Astyanax mexicanus: one gene and its partner. The protein of the gene in region 1 purifies or fractionates together with the protein of each later gene. This does not show direct contact. Links are inferred from orthologs where the notes say so. Each region holds a gene or a part of one and is shown in the gene's direction. Other genes may lie near its edges.

Region 1 (11,391 bases):
ATTAGGGGGGTTGTCCCCTTTTTACTGCAGCAAAAGCCTCTACAGTTCTATGAAGATTTTGCTGTGGAGAGAATTTGATTGCAATCAGCCTCACAAGAGTGAGAGCATCAGTGAGGTCAGGATCAGGTAATGAGGTTTGATGATGAGTCCTGACACTCTCTGTCGCTTTTCTTAAAGATGAGGATGGAGCTCTGGACGGAGCTGTATCACTTCAGAGAATACAATTCCACTATTTTAAAGCTCTTACTGCTTTTTTAACCAGCTCACAAATGGCACTGGGCACACTGACCTTACAGCCATGTGCTCACAGCTGCTTAAGAGCAGCCCTTTTCTACTGGTCAGTTTGTCTATATGTGAGAGCAATAAGAGCAACAATTCGAATTACAGCATTTTTCCTTAATTCTATGCAGTTTAAACAGAAACAAACCCAGTTTGGTGTAAAACAATACGCTTCCTCTAGGAAAGTTATACAATAAGTGATTACACTCAAAACACAGTTTTAGTAGTTTTTAGAAGATTTTGGGCCTAAAATGTATTTGTAGGAGTGGTGAAGGGATACATGCAGGGTGCGCAGCAAAACTAGCCTCCAAAAGAAAATTCATTTGTTTACACTGTCCAAATACAAACTTAGAAGAGACACTTAGGTAGGTTTGGCTAGCAATTAAAATGTCTACACTTGTGTTATTGTCATAGACTGTGACGCATGGTTCCATTTCATCTGGATACTTTTGGAAGTGTAGTGTATTTTCTGTAGGCCACTGAAAAGCTAAGATGTGGTTTAAGTTTAAGGTGCTGCTGGACAAGAATAAACCTAAAATCGTACATATAGGTCGGTGCATTCATGTAGGTCAGTACTGATGTGTTTGAATAAACCTTTTTGGGGTTTTTTTTGGCTTTTTAGGGTGTTGAATGAGAATAGTCTTAAGTCATGCCTGTGTGCACATAAATAAGTCCATGTGGTAGATGGTCACTACTGGTCACTGATAAATGTGTTAAGCATTATTTCATTAGGTTTTACCTACCATAAGGAACCAGTATTTTAGTGAGTGCTTCCTTAGCTGTAAAATATATGTAAATGTACAGAGCCTCTTTTAAAGTTCTAAGAACCTAAAATAAGGTTCTTTACCAAATAAAGGTAAGTTAGCTTATGGACAGGAACCCTAATTTATTTCTAAAGAGTTTTGGTAATGTACACATTTGGTAAATGAACTGGGTTTATAAGAATCTCTATTTGGCCTGTGAACGTGGTAAATTACAGTGTGTGATTATGTGCACGATAATAAATTCACACAATTTAGCATGATTTATGAGTACATGTTAACGCTAACTAACCTGGAAAAAATATATTTCCAGCATGTAATTAGGACGGTTAGGATAGGTTATGCTGGCTAATAAGCATGAACTGCTTCAGACCTGTCACTAAACTGAACTCAGTGCAGATTTAAGTGTTAAGAAGTATTTATAAGGATAAAGTCGTGAAGATAATTTGATATAATACATTTAGCTATTGAGAACTTTCACCGTTTTGTCTCGCGTGATGCAGGGCGAACCAGCCTGACCTGTGTGTGTGTGTGTGTGTGTGTGTGTGTGCGTGTGTGAAACACCCTGCGCTGCTGCATTTTGTGTAACCTAGTAAACTAAAGCAGAAACGAAGCCTAGCTGGCTTAGCTAACCTAGCGTTAACTAACGTTACCTGTCGCTAGCTATTAATCAATGATCCCATCGATCAAAAAAATGGGGGGTCGGCTGAGGTAAACGGCAGTTTTATATAACAGCATCATTTCGAGGCTGACGGGGGAGGTAAAAATAGATTTTTGGAACTGTTTTTGAAACAGAAAAAAATCCAAGTCACAAACTGTCTGTATGTACGTTATATGTGTGTCTGATGCAGTATATATTGTGGTTATATTGCCTGTTTAGGTGTATTTTGGTGTGTGATATTGTGTCTATATGGTGGTGTCTGGTGCTGTCTCTCTTACCTTCAGCTGATGAGGAGATGCTCTTCCCGGTTCCTTATTTGGCGATATGTGTAAATCCAAGTCCCCAACTGCACATATATACCAGTCTGCTGCAGCACTGGGGTCCTTCAGTCAGTTGATAAGAACAGTAAATATAGTGATAAACGGTGTGGATACGGATCTATTCTCTGCTGGTTCTGAGGGGAGGGAAGCGCTAACGGCCAACCGCTGCTGCAGTGGCGGCAAAAAAATGGGGAAAATGATGCTAAGCTAAAAGTTGAAGCGATGCTGAATGGACGAAAGAGGCTGGGGAAAGTGGCCGCGGAAAGCGACAGCGAGCTGTTAAAGCGAGTTAGAGTGAGAGGAAGTGAGGCGCGGAGAAGCTCTCGGGAGGGTTATGAGGTCCACACACTTTTATATCTAATGCTTTCGACAAAAGGACGATATAAAGTGGGTCTCATGTAACTGACCGCACTGTTACTCGCTTTCCCACCCGATTTTATGAACATCCCGCCTCCGCACGACTACGATTGGGTGGTGTTATCCCGTCCCCGCGCTGGGATTGGCTACTACCTTATATTCGGAAGCCGTCTGCCTATCAGGGAAGACAACCTGCTAGCCAATCCGCACAGGAGGAGGGGAGTGCCATAAAACGGGTGGAAAGTTAGTAGCAAGATTTTTTTTCTCTTCAGTATTTGCCAAGTTTAGAATCTCTATAAGAACTAAGGCCACTGAATTTTTTTTTGCATCAGCAGGTCTTTTACCCACTATTTATGCCCTAATATGGACAAATTCCTCTTCAGTATGACACTGTGTGCTGTTTGGAGAGGTTTAAACACAGTCTTTGCCACAAACTGCGAGACTTTTTAGAACAAGAGCAGAGCAAACACAACAGAAAAACACTATTTTGAGTCATATGAGTATAAAATTATACATGTATATTTATACATGTATGTTCTCTGCATTGCTGTTTGTTTGTATTTTGCTGACTATTATTGGACTGGAGTATTACTACTTCTACAATCTTTAGCAACTCAAAGGGGTCACATCCAGTATGGTTGTCTTTAAGAAGGCCTATCCTCAGCTCTTTTTATCTGAAGGCTTAGCAGACTGGGCACTAAAAACGCTAAAAATACCCTGTCATTAAGTCATATGTAGCTCTGGTAATGTATGATGTGTTGGTTATGATATAGTGGAGGTCCATTATGGAGAGAGAATGTGAAGTTAGGCCATTAGATGATAAAGTGGACATCTGTCGTGTGTCTGTTTGGGCTCCCAGCCAAACCTCCTCCACTATCACACCTCACACAGTTGCATTAGGAGGTGTGAGATGAGACAGACACACAGCTAAACATGTGTGTCAGCGCCATCTCTTTCCATTGAGACTGTAGCTGAATTGAAACAAAAATGCCAGACAGGTGCCTAAGCACAAAGCTTTTGTGGTTAACACTGTTTTATGATATATAATCATATTTTATAGTACAGGTATTTGAAAATAGTTAATAACATAATTAGTATTATCATTAATATAGTAGGGCTGTTTAAATTTAAGAAAATTGTCCCTAAAAAACTATATGGATATTTCAGACAGTTTTCTTAAAATATCTATTTAGAGAGAGTCAGTAGAAGGTCTAAAGCCAAATCACATTTGATATCTTGATATAGTATAACAGAGGATGCTAAGATGCTAAGAATGCTGCTAACAAACACTGGGTTTAGTCTGTCACCAACTGAGATTGGGATGTGAAAACTATATGTATGTGGTCCAGGGTTAGGTGTGGATTGCACATAATTGTGCAAGGATGGGGCGAGGGTTTGGACAAGGCCTCTATAAGACCTAGGATTAGAAAAGGCATTGTGCCTAAATATGGCTTGGGATTGTTTTTTAATGTGGCCTGGAATTGATGTCTTTGGTACCTAGGATTGGGCCTGGATGTGGCCTCTTTGTGAGCCTGGATGTGGGCTGGCACAGGATTAGCCAGGATTGGGTTGTATTGACATGCCTGCCGAGAATTGTGAAATTATCTTTCTTTTCTAATTTTAATGTGTAAATATTCTAAGATTATTTACTTATAAACATAAACAGTAGTTGTATTGTGTATTATGTCACATGGACTCAACATAGATTGAACTGCATTTCTACTTTTACGTATTGAGGCTGCAGTTTTTCTTTTTTTTGTCCTTCAGAAGCCAGAATGCACTGAATACAGCTGACAGCCTTACCCTGTGTCTTATGTGCAGGATTTGACGTACGTTTGTTCCATTAGACGCTTCAAGAGCTGAGGGGTAAAAGCACTTAAGGGCAACTTGAGTGCTGCAGTGTCGTGAACAGGAATAAAAATCATGCTCCTATTCAGTGGAAGTACTCAATTAGATCAGCTAAAGGCTTTCTGCCTTCTGTGTTAAGCAGGTGAAGCATTCATTTCCAGCCTTATATATATTTCTATACCTCCAAGCGATCACCAGATCCCATTCTGGGAACCACTGAGCAAAGGCAGACAGTTGACGTGTTCCATTGTTCAGATTCTTCTGGCTTTATAAGTCACAGAAATGTTGGACCCTTCAAAGACTCCACCCCAGCAGCAAACATTCTCCAGTCCCCATCCATTAAAGCTGTTCCCCCTCCAGCATGAGCATCTCCTGCTCTCACACATTCACGCTTGTTGTAACACTACAGAAACCATGTGAAGGAGATTGGATTGGCTCTCCCAGTAGCTCTCAGTTCTGACCCACATCTCAGCAGGAGTGTTTAATTAATGCAGAGTCATGTGATGCTTAATTTCTGCAGCATGTAAGAGTAGCATTAATCCTGCATTTGTCATGAGCTTCAAATAAATGTTAAACTGGTTCTTTTAAAAAGATATTTAAGCGCTGAATACAATCTGCACACACAATAACAGATCAGGCCTCTGGTTTTCCTAATGCAGTGTGTATCATTAATTTACAGTGTCAGTCTTAGTATAGCAGAGCCTTTGTTTCTTTGAACATATTTAAACATTTAGACCTGTCAGTATCGGTATAATTTATAACAATTTATAAAGAGTGAGATCTGACACATTTGTCCAACACACTAAGACAAATTAAATACAGATTTGTACTTAAAAGAGTACAAAGCTTGTTGCGGTGCTGTACCTTATTTTGAGGTAGAACATTCAGTGAAAGTCTTTGTGCACTCATGTTTTTGTACCAATAAAAATGATAAAGAATATAAACATTATCTTCAACTGAGTATGTGTCAAGAACTTCATGACCCAAAATTATCTGGCATTTTAAAATGAAAAATGTATAATAAAAATGTATATTGTTTATTAGTACAGTGATACAGAATACCGAAAGACTCATGGGCACTTCTCCTTGATGGAAACAAAGTGAGAAAGTGGAAATAGGTGCTGTAGGCAAGAAGCCATGCGGAGGAAATGAGCTATCTGCAAGTACGTTCTTGAGGGTGCACAGGGTAGCTTTATCACACTTTTTGCTTAACAGTGGAAGAGATAGTGATTGGAAGCTGATAATCCTGCAGCAACATTTTTGTACCCTTTCCATTTTATTTAAGTTATTTGTCCACTTCAGATTGACCTAGCATACTCAAGAATTGGATAAATAAGTGTTGTGTATATGTATTGTAGATACATAGATAGATAGATACTTTATTGATCCCCGAGGGGAAATTCTAGACCAGATCCCCCAAGAAGGACCACCACCATCACTCCCACATACTGACCCCAAAACCCAAAAGTTCAGAGCAGCATGAGAGCAACGGGTACATCTGGTTTCTCCCAAACGCTAGACATCACATGATGACATCACTGATTCTTTTGGCATTACTAAGACTTGTATGCTTTGTCTTGTCTTTAAGATCATTTGATAGGACATCTTACATTTATTACTACTAAAATTAGATTAAAATGCAGCACATTAGCTGCAGATGATCAGACCATGATCAGAGAGGGCAATATTTCGGTTGAGGTGAGCAGTTTAACCATAGTCACATCCGAACAGCCCTCTGAGGCCTTAAGAAAGAAAGTTTTAGATGCAGATGAATCTGGCAGTATATTTACAAAGATCTCAAAACAATTAAAAATCACTCTTTCCACTATCCCCTAAATCATTTCCAGGTAAAATTGCTAATAAAATGGCCAGGGCATGGCATCCGAGCTGCTCAAGAACAGACCCCCCAAGTTGCGTAAAAAAAAATCTCAAAGAAACCAAACATTTAATCACAAGACCCACAGATAGCTCTCACCTAAGTCAGTGTTAAAGGGCAGCATCTACTATCAGAAATAAGCCAAAAAGTCATGTGAGAAACTTTGCTGCCCAAAAAAATAACACATTGGCATATTAACATAAGGCACGATAGGTGCAAACCTAGCACAGCATTTAAGCACAAGAACCAAAGACCAAGTCTTTGCATGGAAGTGGAAACATCATTGTTTGCTGCTGCTTTGCTGCAAGGAGGGCCTGGCAAATTCCATATTTTTTATTTTTTTAGCCGGCATGTACATATTTCGTTAAAAAACAGACTTAATCATTTTTTATTTACATACAGTAAGTTATATAACATAACCATAAACAAACTCTCCAGTAATTAAACGAGAAAAGAACACGTATGCTTTGATCGAACAGCGCCCTCCTCCGACTGGACCTCCACAAAATGTATGAAAACACATTTAACAGGGATGTTTAACTTATTCCACTAAACAACACATTTAATACAAAAAAAAACACAATTTCTTTCACAGATTCATCTGTTCAAAGGACAGAAATGCAGTTAATAATAAAATTGTTGATACAAGATGACAATATTTTCGTTCACTTATTCAAATGATACATTTTAAATATCTACATACTACATACTACATAATATTTATTTCACCTTAAGAAACGCAACCTCGGACTATTCAGTCTTGCATATTTAGAAACATAGCGCGATGTTGAACTGTGGGAGTTGTATTCCATTTTCTGCTCGCATCTGCAACACCTTATACGGTTACACAGCTTACTTACTACATTTCCCAGAATCCTTCGCGCGTGGTTGCGAAAACGTTAGAGAAAATGAAGAATTTCTCCGCAGAGTTCGCTTACAGGTGAGAATCTTTAGTTTTGTGGTAAATGTAGTGGTAAATACTTGTATAGAAGATAAAAACGGAAGAATGTTAGAGTAAACGTCGTTTTAATGCGCAAATGTGTGAGAGAACGGAGTGATGGCGAAAAGTTCCCCCGCGTTTGGAAAGAAGCCTCTCACGAGCTGCTGTTAGCTTAGCCTAGTTAGTGGCGAGCTGTAGCAAAAACACACGTTTATACAAAAACAGCAAAAACAGATTACGGGGTGGGTTTAGTTTATAAGTTGTGCTTGTAGTCGATCTTTTCACGCTGCTGTCGGTTTGACTGGAAGAATATTTACGCATATCTGACAGTTGGAATCGCGTAGCTTAGCTTAGCCAGTGCTAACGCAGAAAATAGATTTATATTCTGATCTTAGTTTTGGGTTGTTTTAACCCGGATTATTAAAATTGAGACTGGAGACCGACAGTCCGTCTCTTTCATATAAAGCGCCAGACTGTTATTTTCTTTAGGTAACGTTACTTATAAAAGGTTGACTTTTTGTTTGACAATGAGAAACTTTAGCCTGAATTGTAGCTACGTTAGCTGAGTGGTGTTCAGATGTGTTGTGTTTATGCTCTTACAGCCCTCTCTGTATGACTTTTTTGGATAATTCAGGTTTACTTCAGTAGCTAAATTAGATGTCTATAGCTAATGTATGTGTAATAAAGGTGGTTTCATTGCGACCTTCCAGCTGATAGAAACACACTTTAACTATATTTATTTTCCATTATAAATCAGGAAGAAACATAATTGATAGCTGGTTCAATTGGATGTACTTTAAGGTGTTATTGCAAATGTGTATCATGTAGTTTCAATAGGTTCCTTCATGATTTGCTGAGGTGCTTTTTTCCCTGATTTGGAAAAACGCTTCACAAATCCATCTGAAAGGAATTTCACCAGTGTCACAGTCAGAGTGGGGTTTGGAGTGAAATTAGGCCTCCTGACCTATAATGTTAGTGGATTTTTTTACAGTGGTGAAACGTGGAACCAGGCTTCACCAGGGCTACCACACAAATATAGCAGTTTTGTCTACTTTTCAAACCCACCAGTGAAACTACACTTGTCTTCTGAGTTTTATATGGATGTTGATGATTGTTAAATGTGGGAAAATATTTTCTTCAGTAAAATGCAAGGGACTGCTTTTGTTTTCACTATAATAATGTTATAACAATATAAATAAATATACAATATTAAAGACATGTATTAGACCAAGATCTCATGTATCAGGCAATGTTATTCATTTAATAACAATCTAGGAGGGAGCTTTTAGAGGTTTAGAGGCTTGGTTCCATTACCTGCCACTGCAAACAGTTATGACTGGGTAAGTTTCTCTAGAAGGGAGTGTTTTACACCAAACCCACTCCGAAGGATTTTAGTCACATTGTTTTCATTGAATCATTTAAATATAAAGGGTATTTTTCTGGGTAATGCTGATATGTGTGTGGAGATCTCATGTTCAGAAATTTTCTTTGTTTTTCCCCTCATAAAATTATTTATTTGTTTATTTATTTATTTCAGCATCTTTTATGCCTTAGAATTAGGCAGACTAAAAGAGTCCTGTTCTTGTTTATGCTCTGTGAAAATGAGCTCAGGCTAAAACTGTCTTAATAATGTTAGCAGGAATTGGTCTGGCTAAAGTGCTGTAGACTTAATAGATAGGCTTGTAAACTTGTGTATTAAAATCAGGTTGTTTTGCAGCATTATGTTAAATATACATATATTAAATAAAGTGTTTACATACTGTGTATAGCAGGATATGTTACACTCAATTTACACCTTCAGGATTAAATAATTCTCACTTTTTTCGGGTGTGTTGTTTGTGAGAAACTGATTAGTTCCTTGTGTTATATAATTATTTCTGTGGTTTCCTTCATTCTGGTTTGAGTAGTGCTGGCAACACCGCACCTTAGGATGAGCTGTTTGAAGCGTGTTGTTTAGTGTTTGATTACTGGAAACTACTGCTCTGTCTGGCCTCCTGAACCTCAGCCAGCTGAGTCACAGTCGCTCTAATCCATCTTATATTTGCACTTCACCCAAATCTGTTACCTAAATCTGTACAGTCGAGCATTACCACATCTCTCAGTGGCTGTAGACTGTTAGGTCTGCACATTAATTTATTATTTACTCCAATCATTTTTTTTGCATAGATTTCTCATCTAACCTGTCCAAGATATAAGCAATGAACTGTGTTATACCAAAGGCACCACCACAACTCTATCAAAGATAGTACTCACGTAGCAACATCCTATCAACCATGGCGATATGGAGAAAAAAAAAGAAGATCTTATCAGGATATAGTTTTCCATGTCAGTGGATATGGATATTTATCATGATATAAATCAAATCACTTTCTGTCACACTTAAATGTTATTTTTACCCATAAGTAAGAGAATATAAATAAAAATATAAAACTTAAATCCTGTATATTCAAAAGGTCAAATGTTACAGAATAACGAAGTAAACTAACTGTAAACTAAATTCTGTTTTGTTGAAATTCTGGTCAGTTCCAAATAAATAAATGCTTATTAGCATCATATTTAAGCATCCGGCAGAACGCGTTAAAAGAATGGCCAAGAAAGGCGTTTAATGTAGCTATATTGCTAGAACTTACAATGATTGCTGTTGGCACTCTCACCACCATACACACACACACACAGAGCATGAGCACAGAGCACTCACTATCTCACTCACTCACTTACTATCTCACTCACTTACTATCTCACTCACAAACTCTATTCAAGCTACATGATTGGTTCAGCGTGGCGCTAATCCTATTCTCATTAGCTGTTTCCATTGTCTGTCTGAAACGTCCCCGGAACGAGTCATGACAAAGTTTTATTGACTTTTTTTTCCCCCCGAAGTTTTATTACATTACTATTAAGGGAAAGTTATTTTGCAATAATTATCATTATCATTTTATTGCACAGCACTACTATTAACCATGTATGAGACCATCACAACCACCTAGCAGGCCTATAAGTGTAATCTGGGACAGTGAGATGGCTTAGCAACACCCAATTAGAAATGTGGTGATGTCGCATCAAAGTAGCCAATTAGCAATGCTCAGCCACCATGCACGGTACCAATTAATTTAGCACTTTACAGTATTAAAAAATTAAATAATGTGAAAAGTGAGTGTATCTGACTGTATGAGGTGGGAGTATCTTTACAGTGTTTAATGCTGTATTCTGTTTGCAGGCTGTGAAGGCCCTACTCTACATGGCTTTGATGGATTATGAACTCCGGTAAAGCGTGCTACAACCGTTTTTCAGGAGGATTGCCCATTGATGCCACTGTTAGTAGTTTATCTGATGTCAGTAACTGGGTGAGAAACACAGCGCTGTTCACGTCAGTAACGAATACAGTGGAGGTGTGAATTTATGGTACTTTTTAGAAAAAAAAAAGCGTATTATTAAGTAAGACCATAAGTTATTTTAATCACACCAATGTCTGACTGTTTGTGATGCTTCATGCAGACCAGAATGGAATCTACTTTTGGACCCACGTTTTCTGCAGTCGCTCCAGTCAGCAAAGGTAAACACAAGCTGCTTGGCACTGTATTTATATTTCTGTGAATATGGAAACAGATGATCTGCTAGGTCTGCATTGTAAAAATGAAACACTGGCTCAGCTTGTTATAGCTTATTTAGGTGATTGATTATCTTTACATCAACAGCAACATATTAGAAATTGTTGCATGTAGATAACTTGAACTTATAAAACAGTAGTGGAGATTGACCCAGTTCTACCATTGATCAGCCTGAACGCCCTCGGGCTGTGCAGTGAGATTGATCCATTGTAATAACCATGTTGTGAAATTTCAGCCGAGACGACCGGTAATTACAAACAGCACCGCAGGACCCCTTCGTCCTCCAGCACCCTGACCTACTCTCCACGGGACGACGATGATGGCATGGTAATCACAGTCCAGCTCTGCTGGAGTCCACTTCTTAACACTGCCTATTACTTTAACAGCGTGCCTGTTTACCAGAACCAGATGAAGCCAAAGACTATGCTTTGAAGAGTTTTTGGTGATGAATCAACACTGGTTATAAAATTTAACATACAGAGTCAGTTTAAATGTCTAAATGTATAAGATATCCTTACAAAACAACAGACACTTAACATCTGTGGTGTGAGTTGGAGTGATTCCTTTTAAGATGTTTTAAAGTGCTGAAGTACTTTTGGATGATTTTTGTATGTACTTTATTTTCAAACCTGATCAAAATTACATACCAGCACTGAGGTTTTTTGTGGCTGAGTGCAGTCAAATACTGCTCAAAACATTTAGCGTAAAGCTTGTAATTTTAGATTTCAGGTGCAGTTCAGG
Region 2 (10,962 bases), about 7.3 Mb from region 1:
GTTGCAGGGAATAATTTGGTCTTGCAGAAACTCAACATTTTTGTGTCACGCCATCTCCCCCACTCTAAACCACTTCCTGTTGTCACACATCGTTCTGCCTGCTTCCTGTGAGCTGCTCTTGTCTGTGAACAGGGTTAGTCAGGTCCTCACCGTTAGCTCAGGAATATGAACAGGCCGCAATGCTCAGGCTGTGTGTGAGTGTGTTTTACTGTCCACTCGTTTTCACCACCTCTGGCCTGCAGAGCTGCTATCCTTTTAAGTGTTTAGTGCAGGAGCTTCAGTACTTGATGGGTTCAGTGGGTGTCTGTCGTGGAGCCTCTGGATCTGCTTTATCTTGTAGTCCACGGTTTCTGAGCATTTGAAGAATGGAATATTTAATATTGGTGAAAATAAGTACTGGTAGTTTGGCAGGTTAAATGGTAGATATTTTATCTTTTGGGATATCAGTACTTTCTACACACATTTTACCAGTATCAATAAAAGTTTATAATGTGCTTAACTAAGTAAAGACATTAAAAAACTGAAAGTAAAAAAAAAAATTCTATAATATAAATTATAGTTTAAATAACCCTTTTTTAACCTCTTTTTTTGTTTTTTTAATGAAACAGTACACAATTACGTACTTTTGTTGGAAATTTGAATATTAACAACTATTTAAATTAATTTTAAGCACATTTAATTTTTTATTTTTCTAATAAAATCTCTGTTAACTTGAACTTGCACATGTTCAAATTTTAGCTCATTTCGTACAAAAAAAGAATAAATAAAATCCCTTTTTGCAAAAGCTGACTTTGTATATTTAAAAGGAGAATTTAAAAGGTAAATTACAGACTTTTCAATGGTGTAAGATTTATTGCCAAAAAGCATTGACAGAAAGAAAATTGAACTAAACACACATTTCCTTACTTTTCACTCTAATTAAACTGAATGCGTAAGGGCCATGAGTTTACTCGTAAAAATGCACATATATTATATGATATTATATCATGGTAATTTAAGCTTCTGAGCTCAAAAATTGTGGACTGCCAGGTAAAACTGCTTTCAGTGGTCCTGTGTGCAGGTGATGCACTGTGATGTGTTCTGTGTTCTGTGACCTCCTCAGTCAGTAGATAATGTGTGACGTTCCAAAAAATCCAGACCTGGAGGGCAGCACAGTGTCCTGCATGATTTGAATTATTCATTTAGGCAGGTGTTTTTGAGTAAGGAAATCTACAAACTGTACTGGATACAATTTGAAGGCCTTCTAGTCTATCTAGTCTTTCACATTCTTCTTTTTTCAGTCACTTAAACAGCTCTTTGATTTGAGAATATATCTGTGTTCGGATCTGCTGTTGTATTCTGTATTGAATCATGTGTTTTAATATACATTCTCTCAGAACAGATCTAGCCACATCATTCAGTGCTGAAATGGAGGCTCAAACTTGGCTTTGTTTCAAGCAGCTCTGTGAGTTTGCAGTGTTTGGCCCTCTGCTTTAACAGGGGCACTGGAGCTAGAGATTGAGGTGGTTAGTGCTCCATCTGGTGTTGGGAGAAGGTGCAGCACAGTTGACAGTTTAACACATAAAAAAACCTATACTTTCTTTTATTTTCTTTGTTGAGACCCATTTATATTTTAAATTGGCTGAATTGGTTTTATAATGGAGTTACAAGGCTAATCTTGCTGTAAAATGTTATGTAATAAGTTTATAGTCATCCAAAATTGAATTATTTTTGAATTATCCAAAATTTAGTCTTTTTACTTCTTGTAATTTATTACCACATTTTATTTTATTACTTTTGTTGCTCAAAAAAAATCTGTCTGCTACATTTATGGTAAGGGAGCACATTTTTGTGTAGGTTTATTTTTTTTGTCAGCGCCTCAAAAGTTAAAGTAGCTGTTTGGCAGAAATCGAGTTAGTACAGTTTTGCTCTTTTACTTTTGAGCCAAAACACTAGGCCTGTCATGATGTATCATCCTAGAAATTATTGAGAAACAATATTATTGTCATTTTTAATGACAAACAATAAAAAGGTACAAGGCTAACTTTGCTAACATGATTTATGTAGTCCATAGTCATCCAAAATCAATTTCTTTTTTTTTTTTTTTGTGAATCTTCGACTTCTTATACTCATACCATTACTTCTATTACTTTGGCTACTAAACAAAGTGGTCCAGTGTTTTAGAGCAGTTTGACTTTGCTAAAATTGAGTTTGATCAGTTTTAACATCCTTAACTCAATTGTAGTTAATCAGCTGAGACAGAAATTGGCTTCTGTAGTTTAAAAATTCAGTGATTCTTAATTTTTTGTTCGACGTCTTGTATCTACATTGTAAATTAGATTTTTTTTTTTTTTCTTTTTAAATTTTTTTGGGCCAAATTATTTACTTTATTTACTTTTCACTTTATTTACTATTCACTTTCTGAGTCCATTAAGAAAGCATGAGAGATGGAACAAATGTCATCATTTGTAACCTGATTACCACAGAAGCCCTTCCTGTTGTTCTAAATGTTGGAGATTACTGTGAAATTGAATGCGCTGTGAGGTTTCGAATAATCATACGCTCTTAACATGAGCCAGAACAATATTTTCTTACCAAGCCGTAGAATAAAAACATTATTATTCTTATTATTGTTAATAAAACACACATCCATTTCAGGTTCTTAGAGAAAGGAGAATTTGTACAGTTTGGGTTTGTATTTGAGCCCAGAACTATTGTCTACTTCCTGGACTGTTCAGATTACTTTGTTTTTTTTCTCTGTAAATTTAAAGTCTGCATTTTTTTCCCATGTTAAATTTTTATTTTTTTGTTAGTTTGTTCCTCACTGGCACAAATCACTGTGTTTACATCAATGCTCCTCAGATATGTGGGCCAAGGTACAAACCTACACCATATCCTGTCTAAAGATTGTGTGTGTGAGTCTTTTCATTTTAATAATCATCAAAAATGGGGGGGGGGAAAGCGTACAAATGTCCTGTCTCTGCCTGAACGTAATCGTAAAGTGTGTGTGTATATGTGGATGTTCAGTAGCTGTAAGATTGGATTGTTTAAGGTAGGACAGATTTGAATAAAACTCTTATTTTGTAAAGTAGTAGACCGTCAGCATGGGTTGAGTGAGCTGAGAGAGAGATGCGTGTTTAAACCAAGTGGATTATTCTCTGTCGAAACTTGATCAGTGGAGTGAATCTGGTGGCCTTAAAACAGCAGGATGTTTTTGGCTTTTTAAGGTGGCGCTTTTACTTTGAATCTTTCATTCCCACTCTGGAGTCTTTCAGCCCCTTCCTCCACAGCACTCTGTTAAACCCAGAGATCCCAGACAACCAAAATGTGATGTCTTTTCCTTACTCCCTTCAAATCCACACCTTTACCCTCCCCACCCTTCCAGTCTTTTGTGTTTCCTTTCTTCCCTTTTTTTAATTTTCATTTTTTGTACACGCTTTTGGAGAAAAGAAATAAAGAAGTTACTGGTGTTCATTTGGTCTTGTGTGTTTCAATTCTTTTAAAACAGATGAAAAATATATACCATTGTTTTTAGGCCTGTAACAATAATTATTGGCTTGCAATTCATACCCCTTAATAAATTGCAGTGTGAAACAATATTTCCAAGTTATAAAGCATATTTTATACATTTTAGGTGAAATAATGGCACAGTGTAGAGCGCAATTACATCCAATAAACAGTTAGCTAGAACACAAAAAAAAGATATATATATATATATATATATATATATATATATATATATATATATATATATATATATATATATATATATATATATATATATATATATATATATATATATATATATATATATACACATTTATATACATATATATATACATATATTACATACACACACACATCATTGAAAGAGCAATCAATAATTAGTTGAGGGCAAATGTTAATGTTCTTTATTTTGTACGTTTAGAATTATGGTAAGGTCTGTAGCCAATAGGGGGCGAGTTAGACTCACTGTGTATGTGTATGTGAGAGAGAGTATACAGCCTGTCTAGCCCGCGGCTAAGCGTATACTCCAGCTACAAAGCTACACAATGTTACAGGCAATAAAATCCACAGCGTTTTAGAAGCTAGTAATAAAAGCCAAATAACTGAAATAGCTTTTGCCTTTTAAACCCTTTCAGGTCACTGAGCTCTCTCCACCGTTAAAACGCCAGTCCAATTATAATTATAACGCCAGCCAATATTAATCCTGGTTTTAGCACGGATTCTTCTTTGTTTTTGCTGAGTAAATGAGCTACTGGGGTCTGAGTTTCCCCTACTGAAATCTGCATTTAGTAACGGTACGTTCACACTGCAGCGACGATTTGATGTTTCATTTCATGATGTCTCTTAATATTAAACTCCTTAATTACGGCAACTTTTAGACTCTTTTGCCCGTGGTTCTGCGCAATAACTGCACACTTTCTCCGCTTTTAGACTCTTTATCCCTTTTTCTGCGCTACAACTGAGCACTCTCTCCGCTTTTAGACTCTTTGGCCCGTTTTCTTGCGCTACAACTGAGCACTCTCTCCGCTTTTAGACTCTTTGGCCCGTTTTCTTGCGCTACAACTGAGCACTCTCTCCGCTTTTAGACTCTTTGGCCCGTTTTCTGCGCTACAACTGAACACTCTCTTCGCATTTAGACTCTTTGGCCCGTTTCTGATACCTAGCATTCAAACTTTGAATCTCACATTATAAAAACCTACTTAACAGCGGGCCAACTTTCATTCTATTTCTAAAATACCGCTCCAAAAAAGGAAACGGGCCGCAAATGGCCCGTGGGCCGTAGTTTGGACACCCCTGGTCTACGCTGTCATACTTTTATCTAAATATCTTAAAAAAGTAAATTTTTGCTGCTGCTGCCGCTCTTCATAGAGAACAGTGGGAGGCATTGCTGTAGTGTGAACATACAGTAAAACAGAGTCGGATCCTCTTTCAGAGGCTGTATGTGTGACGTAAGTACGTAAAGACGCTTGGCGTGACCAGAAGGACTCCTGCGAAAAGCGACCCGAGATCCCAGCTTTTAGAATAAATATATTAGGCTTAGCAGGGATGGTCATTCCAGCCCACTGGTACCATTAAACATAGTATTTTGTCCCTTCTCCGTTCAGAAATGCTTCTGCTCTCAGTGTAGAAACAAAATAATACGAACTGTCACTTTAAGTTGTGGCCCCAGGAGGCAATAGGTCAGATAGACTTATCTGTACATGTGTTAATCATGTTTGGCCAGTGAGTGGCGCTGGCGTGGCGCTTTTCATTTACAATACTGAGAGTCCAGATAAAGCTAAATCTCTCTCAGCTGATCTCTGTTAGGGGAATTCCAACTTTTCCCCAAGAAATAGGTTTTTAATTTTTCAGCCCTTAAGTGTAAACAGTGGGTATGGTGTGCATTAGTTATAGCCAGTTGAGTGTATATTAAGGTTTCTTTACAGTAGTGATGAAAATAATGAAAATAGTGGCCACCCTGATTAGAATACAAATTTAGGCATTTTATTTACTATACAAACCCATCAGTAAACCAACACACACAGTTTTAAATACAGGTTTAAATGTAATGATGTTAATGATTGTTAAATGCTACAAAATCATAAAATCATCAGGGTTCAAAAACACTGGTCTAAAGTATCCATTCAATGCCATGTTTAGTATTAATAATCATAGTGTTACCACACCCCATTGTTATGCAAATTGTTTTGTTTTTGTTTTAGTTTTTGCCTCTGCAAATGTGTGCTTTCTAGTATTCAGTCTTATTTAATTATTTAATTGCAAACTATACAAATACATGATCCTACCAGAACAAGAAGATTCAGGACAGAGGGGAACAGAATTTATCTTTTTGGGCTTTATTTATTTGCATTAGTTATTATATTCGAATTTTAATTCTTAATTTTATTGTTATGGTAAATAAAGAAACAAAAAAAACTAATAAACACATAAATAAATTCTTCACGAGCTTGTGCTCTCTGCGCCTGCTCACTGTTCAATTACAGAATCGCATACAGTGTATTAACGCCGTGATTCAGTTTGGCAAACCGATTCTTCCTAACAGTATTTTACAGTGGGGTCGATTCAAGTGTCGATACGTCGATTCATTGATTCAAGTTAACTACCTCTATTTATCCCCCCTTATAGACTCCACTGTGCATTTGTGTTTATAATAAATGTTTTTTCAGCAATGTTTGAGCAAAATCCTGCTTAGGTGCTCCTTAAGCCCAAAAAAATAAAGTTTGTGAGAATCATTTGTGAGAATTATATTTTATTAAATTTATTACATTACGTTATCTAACATTGGATCAGCCCTCAGTCTATGCCAATTATTGCATAAAAGCGTATATAGGTAAATATATTAATTATAAATACAGTCTCTTCAGATCCAGAAAGTACAAAAAAGGTATATCCTAACAACACACAATTCTGTTCGGACTCGTGAATCGGCTCGATGGTTCGAAAGAACCGATTCGTCTGTCCTAAGGACTCGAATCTCCCTGCGACAGTGGTGTTCGCTTAGCTGCATGAAATGGATGGAAGTTAGTGGACAGTAAGCGGTTTCTATTTTTTAAAAACAGGGGGATTTTTTAAACACTGCTGTAGAATTTCCTGCTGGATATAAGTTCTATTTTTACAACTTTTTCAGTCGTTTTGAAGGAATCAAAGGTTTTTGGGTTCTGGTGTCGATTTGGATTTTTTTCATGTCAGGAAACTCGCAGCGTTAGAAAAGATTCACTCCAGACTTTGCGGTTTTTTGATAAACTCGTGATGTTGAGATGTGTCTGCAGCTTCAGTCGTTCATTTTATGATGAAATATTCGGATTTTTGGACTGAGAAACACTTATTTTACACTGTTCTGTCGTGTGAAGACACAAACACAGCAACGGAAAACGGATTTGACCATCGAGCTTCGTTACTATCCTTAACGTGTTATCTTTTTTTCTCTCACTATATTAGGTCGATAATATCGTATCTTTGGGTGAAGTGTTAGCGTGTATTAGTTTAGTAAACATTTAAGCGGTTTCTGCACTTGTGTATGAGCATATTTTATCTTTTTTAAAGCTCATAATCCGTAAACCTAACTAAGCTAGCGAACTAACTTAACAGTGCCGTTAGTTTTTTTTCAGGAACGGTTTATACCCCGTTTTTTCGGTGCAAGTGTAAACACAGAATTAGTTCTCTCTCTTTTTACCTGAAAAAGAAAACAACGATAAAAAAAAACTTATGCTCGGGCGAACTGACTCTTTCAGACGTGCAGAAAAAAATCTGCAAACTTAGCAGGAAAAGAAGCCATCAGACTCGCGGAAATCGCCCCCCTCCTCTCTAACTCAGCTCCAGCTCAGCTAGGTTAACTGTTCAGCCACAGTTTAAATGGATTTCTGCACCAAATCTGCTCTTTTTGCTTTCTATTCCGGAGTATACGACACAGTTCACATCTAAAACCGGTTTATTACACGGGGAATGCCATCTAATATCCACAGCAGCTTTCTGAAGAACACGGTCTAAACGCTGGAAAGACTCAGCAGCAGTCCTGAACCTACATGTGAGGTAAGCTACTGTATGTAGTTAGTTCTCTAGTTATTATTGTTCGGTAACAGTTAAGCTACTAATGTAATTTTTAAACACAACCAGTCTGCTCTAGTAAAGACTGTGTCCCCCATTAGTCACAGTCCCTTTAAAAAGAGATGCTTGGGTTACTTGTTAGTAAAGGAGAGTGATATAGCCCTAAATATATATCACAACATTTCATGGTATTTTCATGATAAGGATACTCTTTGCAATATGACAAAACACTAAATTAAAACAGACATCCCAATTTGCAAAAATTAATTTCAGGGAGGTATATTGGAAAAAAAATTAGATCACTTTAAAATAATCAGTTTCTGATTTTGCAATTTAAAGGTATATGTTAAAATAAAATGAGCATTGTTTTTTTTATTCTATAAACTTACAGACAACATTTCTCCCAATTCCAAATAAAAATATTGTCATTTACAGCTGACTCTTTGTAGAGAACAGGCCAATCAAAACCCTCTCTGTTTTGCATACGCTTCATGAATATGCACACAGGGAGCGCCTTTCTCTTCCTCTCCCTCTTTTTTATTTGGGTACAAAAAGTCGGTGTCGCCTGTGTGCACGTTTGTGTTCACTCTTGGGCCACTTGTTCTAGATTCCGGGAGATTTTATCTGATTTGCGGGCATCAGGGAGCTGTTATTGATATATGTAGACTCACGCACCCTCCGGGAGACTTGGGAAGTCTAAAACAAACAAACAAAAAAAAAAAACAAATCAACAGTACACTACTAATTACATTCTGTTATTGTATACGATATGATATGGCACACCCCTAACTGAGATATAAAAAAAACACAATTTAAAAAAAAAAAAAAGAAGTCAATAATCCAGAATGTCAGGTCACTAATAATGCACTCCATATATTCAGCATTAAAGTAAAATAAATGATATTGGACAGATGTAATCTGTCTCTAGTAGATATATAATTGGACATGAGAACAGTGTGAATTTTTCTTTTGCTAAAAGCAGCAAAAATGTAGTACTTTGATGTGATAATTAGGCGTGGATGATATGGCACGATATTTTAGGGTATAATATCGTCCACAATATTAAAAAATGTTGCCGATATTATTGCATATAATATAATATGGCACACTACTACTTGTCAGTTAATTAAGTGTTTACAGAAGAGAGTTTGTTTCCTCTGTACATCAATAGGGAGACAGTCAGAATTATTCATCATTTATTTGCCCTGGCATTTTGAATCCTCTAAGGGATTGTATTCTCTTATCCTGCTATTTTAATTTGGACCTGAACAGTCTCTGAAAATACCCTTTGTCTGCTTGTCATAATATTGTGATCTATATTGTGTATTGTAAAAATGTAATTTATTCATGTAAATATTGCAATATTTTTTGTATATTATTGCCGTATCATATCACACACTTCTAACGCTGGTGTACATTCAACATAATTTGTTTGGGCTTATAATGGACCAAATTCTAAAAAATGAAACTAGACAAGTTATGTAATAACAAACGTCTTGTAATAATCATGTGTTTTCTTTGTTGTCAGTTTGTGCACAGCTACGATGCGAAGAAGACGGCGGCTTCCATGCTTCAGAAAAGTGCTATGTGGAGAAGCTTCCTTCACTATAAGATCATGAACTGACAGCAGACCTGTAGGAAACGCCACCACTGTCCACCCTTGCTCGCTCTTTCTGGACTGAATCTCTCTCTGTGGTGGTGCTGGAGGCCGCAGGCCGAAGGGGCTGCCCCCAGAGGCCCGGGGCCCGGGCAGCGGTTTAGCGATGGCATGATTGCTTTTTCCAATCCAGGAGCAAAGAGACAGGATTTCTGGGGACAGCATTGCTGAACTAAGCCAGTTTCCATTTCTTGATATATTATTTTGTGAAGCTCGAGGCAAAAAGAAGAGAAGGGAACACTGCACTGTTCGTTCAGGTGAGAAAAAGCGTCTTTTATTGTCCTCTGAGTGAACAAATCGTTCACTACAATGCTTTACAGGCATTGTAACCACAAATAAGTGGCTGGCAATGTCAGCTTGAATAAAATGAAATCAGATTGAGTGTATCCAGCATATTGGCTGTGTGCAGAATAGGGCTGCAGCAATCGATTATTTTAGTAATCAAGTACTCTACTGAAAAATCGATTCGATTATTCGAGTAATCAGATAAAACATAAAATAAGAGATTTCATAAAATAAGAAATTTCACTTAATAATGAATGACCAATTAGTTTAAATTTTAAATTCACAACATACATTTCCACATTGCAAACACAAATATAAATAAATAAAACACAAAATAGACATAAATACCTCAAGTAATAATTTAATAATTTAATAAAGTAAGTTAAATGATTTAAACTTAGGATTTCTTGTAAGTATTAAATATAGAGCATTAATCAATAATAAACATTTGCTTTATGTTGTGCATCTTTATTTACCTTTTACACTACTCAGATCTAATGAATTGACATAACTAAGACTAAATGACATTACATGTGTTTATTTATAAACTCCACAGTGCTGATTTACAGTTTACTGATTACATAAAGCCTGTATTAAGTCTAGAACTTGTCTCCATTGTAATAAACTAACCACACATATTAGACAGTATTAATAATAATCAGCGCTACACAGTGCTGTCGTTATGTTATTAAGGTACATTGATGGTCATTTTATTGATTTGTTATGAGTTAAATTTACCTGCTCGCCGCTCCAAAAACCTCTGCCTCCTCTGCCTGATTCCTGTGCATGAGTGATGTAAATCTAAACGCGCTATATTTTACATTAACGTATCTGTATGGGTTGCTGTGGTAATGAACTAAACCTTTGGTGATCTACTAACCTTTGGTGCACTTCTTGGCCCCCTCACTTCTATCATTTTTGATGAGGTTTTGTATGTGGCATTTTGAGTGGTGCAAAGGACATGGTAAAATGTTATTTGAAGTTTTAGAGCAACCAGTCTGAGACACATCTGTACAAATCTAAATATCTTGGCATTTCACAACACTAGGGCTGCAACTTAACGCTTAGCTGGTAATGCTAGAAGACTACAGGCTGATAATACTCACCTGAATGGCTAGCGCTTAGTGGGTAATGCTAATACTGCTCCAGCAGTTCTAGCCATGGTTAGAGGAAGGCTACAGGCCGATAATATTCACCTCTGGATGCCCGAATGGGTAGCGCTTAGCGGGTAATGCTAATACTGCTAGAGAACTTAACTGAAACTCCTGTATAACGCTGTACTTTAGGGGAGTGGCTTTACACTTCCTTACAACCTGACTGGTAAAATTCATACATAAGGTGCACCGGATTATAAGGCGCACTGACTATTTTTGGGAAAGTTAAAGTATTTTAAGTGCAGCTTATAGTCAGAAAAATATGATTTATACATGTTTATAACTGTATGTAATTTTTATTTTAAGATCAATATCTGACACTTAAGACGTTAGGGT

The links.
Region 2: the proteins of traf7 (region 1) and map3k3 purify together in Homo sapiens (affinity purification with mass spectrometry; 5 studies listed by BioGRID and IntAct, with this or other methods). This does not show direct contact. The link is inferred for Astyanax mexicanus from reciprocal best matches to the Homo sapiens genes TRAF7 and MAP3K3.

What each region holds. Positions count from the first base shown.
Region 1 is NC_064426.1:13,727,275-13,738,665, forward strand, and holds the start of traf7 (E3 ubiquitin-protein ligase TRAF7), read left to right. Parts: upstream 1-6,901; 5' UTR 6,902-7,042; intron 7,043-10,259; 5' UTR 10,260-10,296; coding exon 10,297-10,431; intron 10,432-10,537; coding exon 10,538-10,595; intron 10,596-10,885; coding exon 10,886-10,977; intron 10,978-11,391. UniProt on the Homo sapiens protein: E3 ubiquitin and SUMO-protein ligase that plays a role in different biological processes such as innate immunity, inflammation or apoptosis. Potentiates MAP3K3-mediated activation of JUN/AP1 and DDIT3 transcriptional regulators.
Region 2 is NC_064426.1:21,050,104-21,061,065, forward strand, and holds the start of map3k3 (mitogen-activated protein kinase kinase kinase 3), read left to right. Parts: upstream 1-6,435; 5' UTR 6,436-7,515; intron 7,516-9,058; 5' UTR 9,059-9,444; intron 9,445-10,962. UniProt on the Homo sapiens protein: Component of a protein kinase signal transduction cascade. Mediates activation of the NF-kappa-B, AP1 and DDIT3 transcriptional regulators.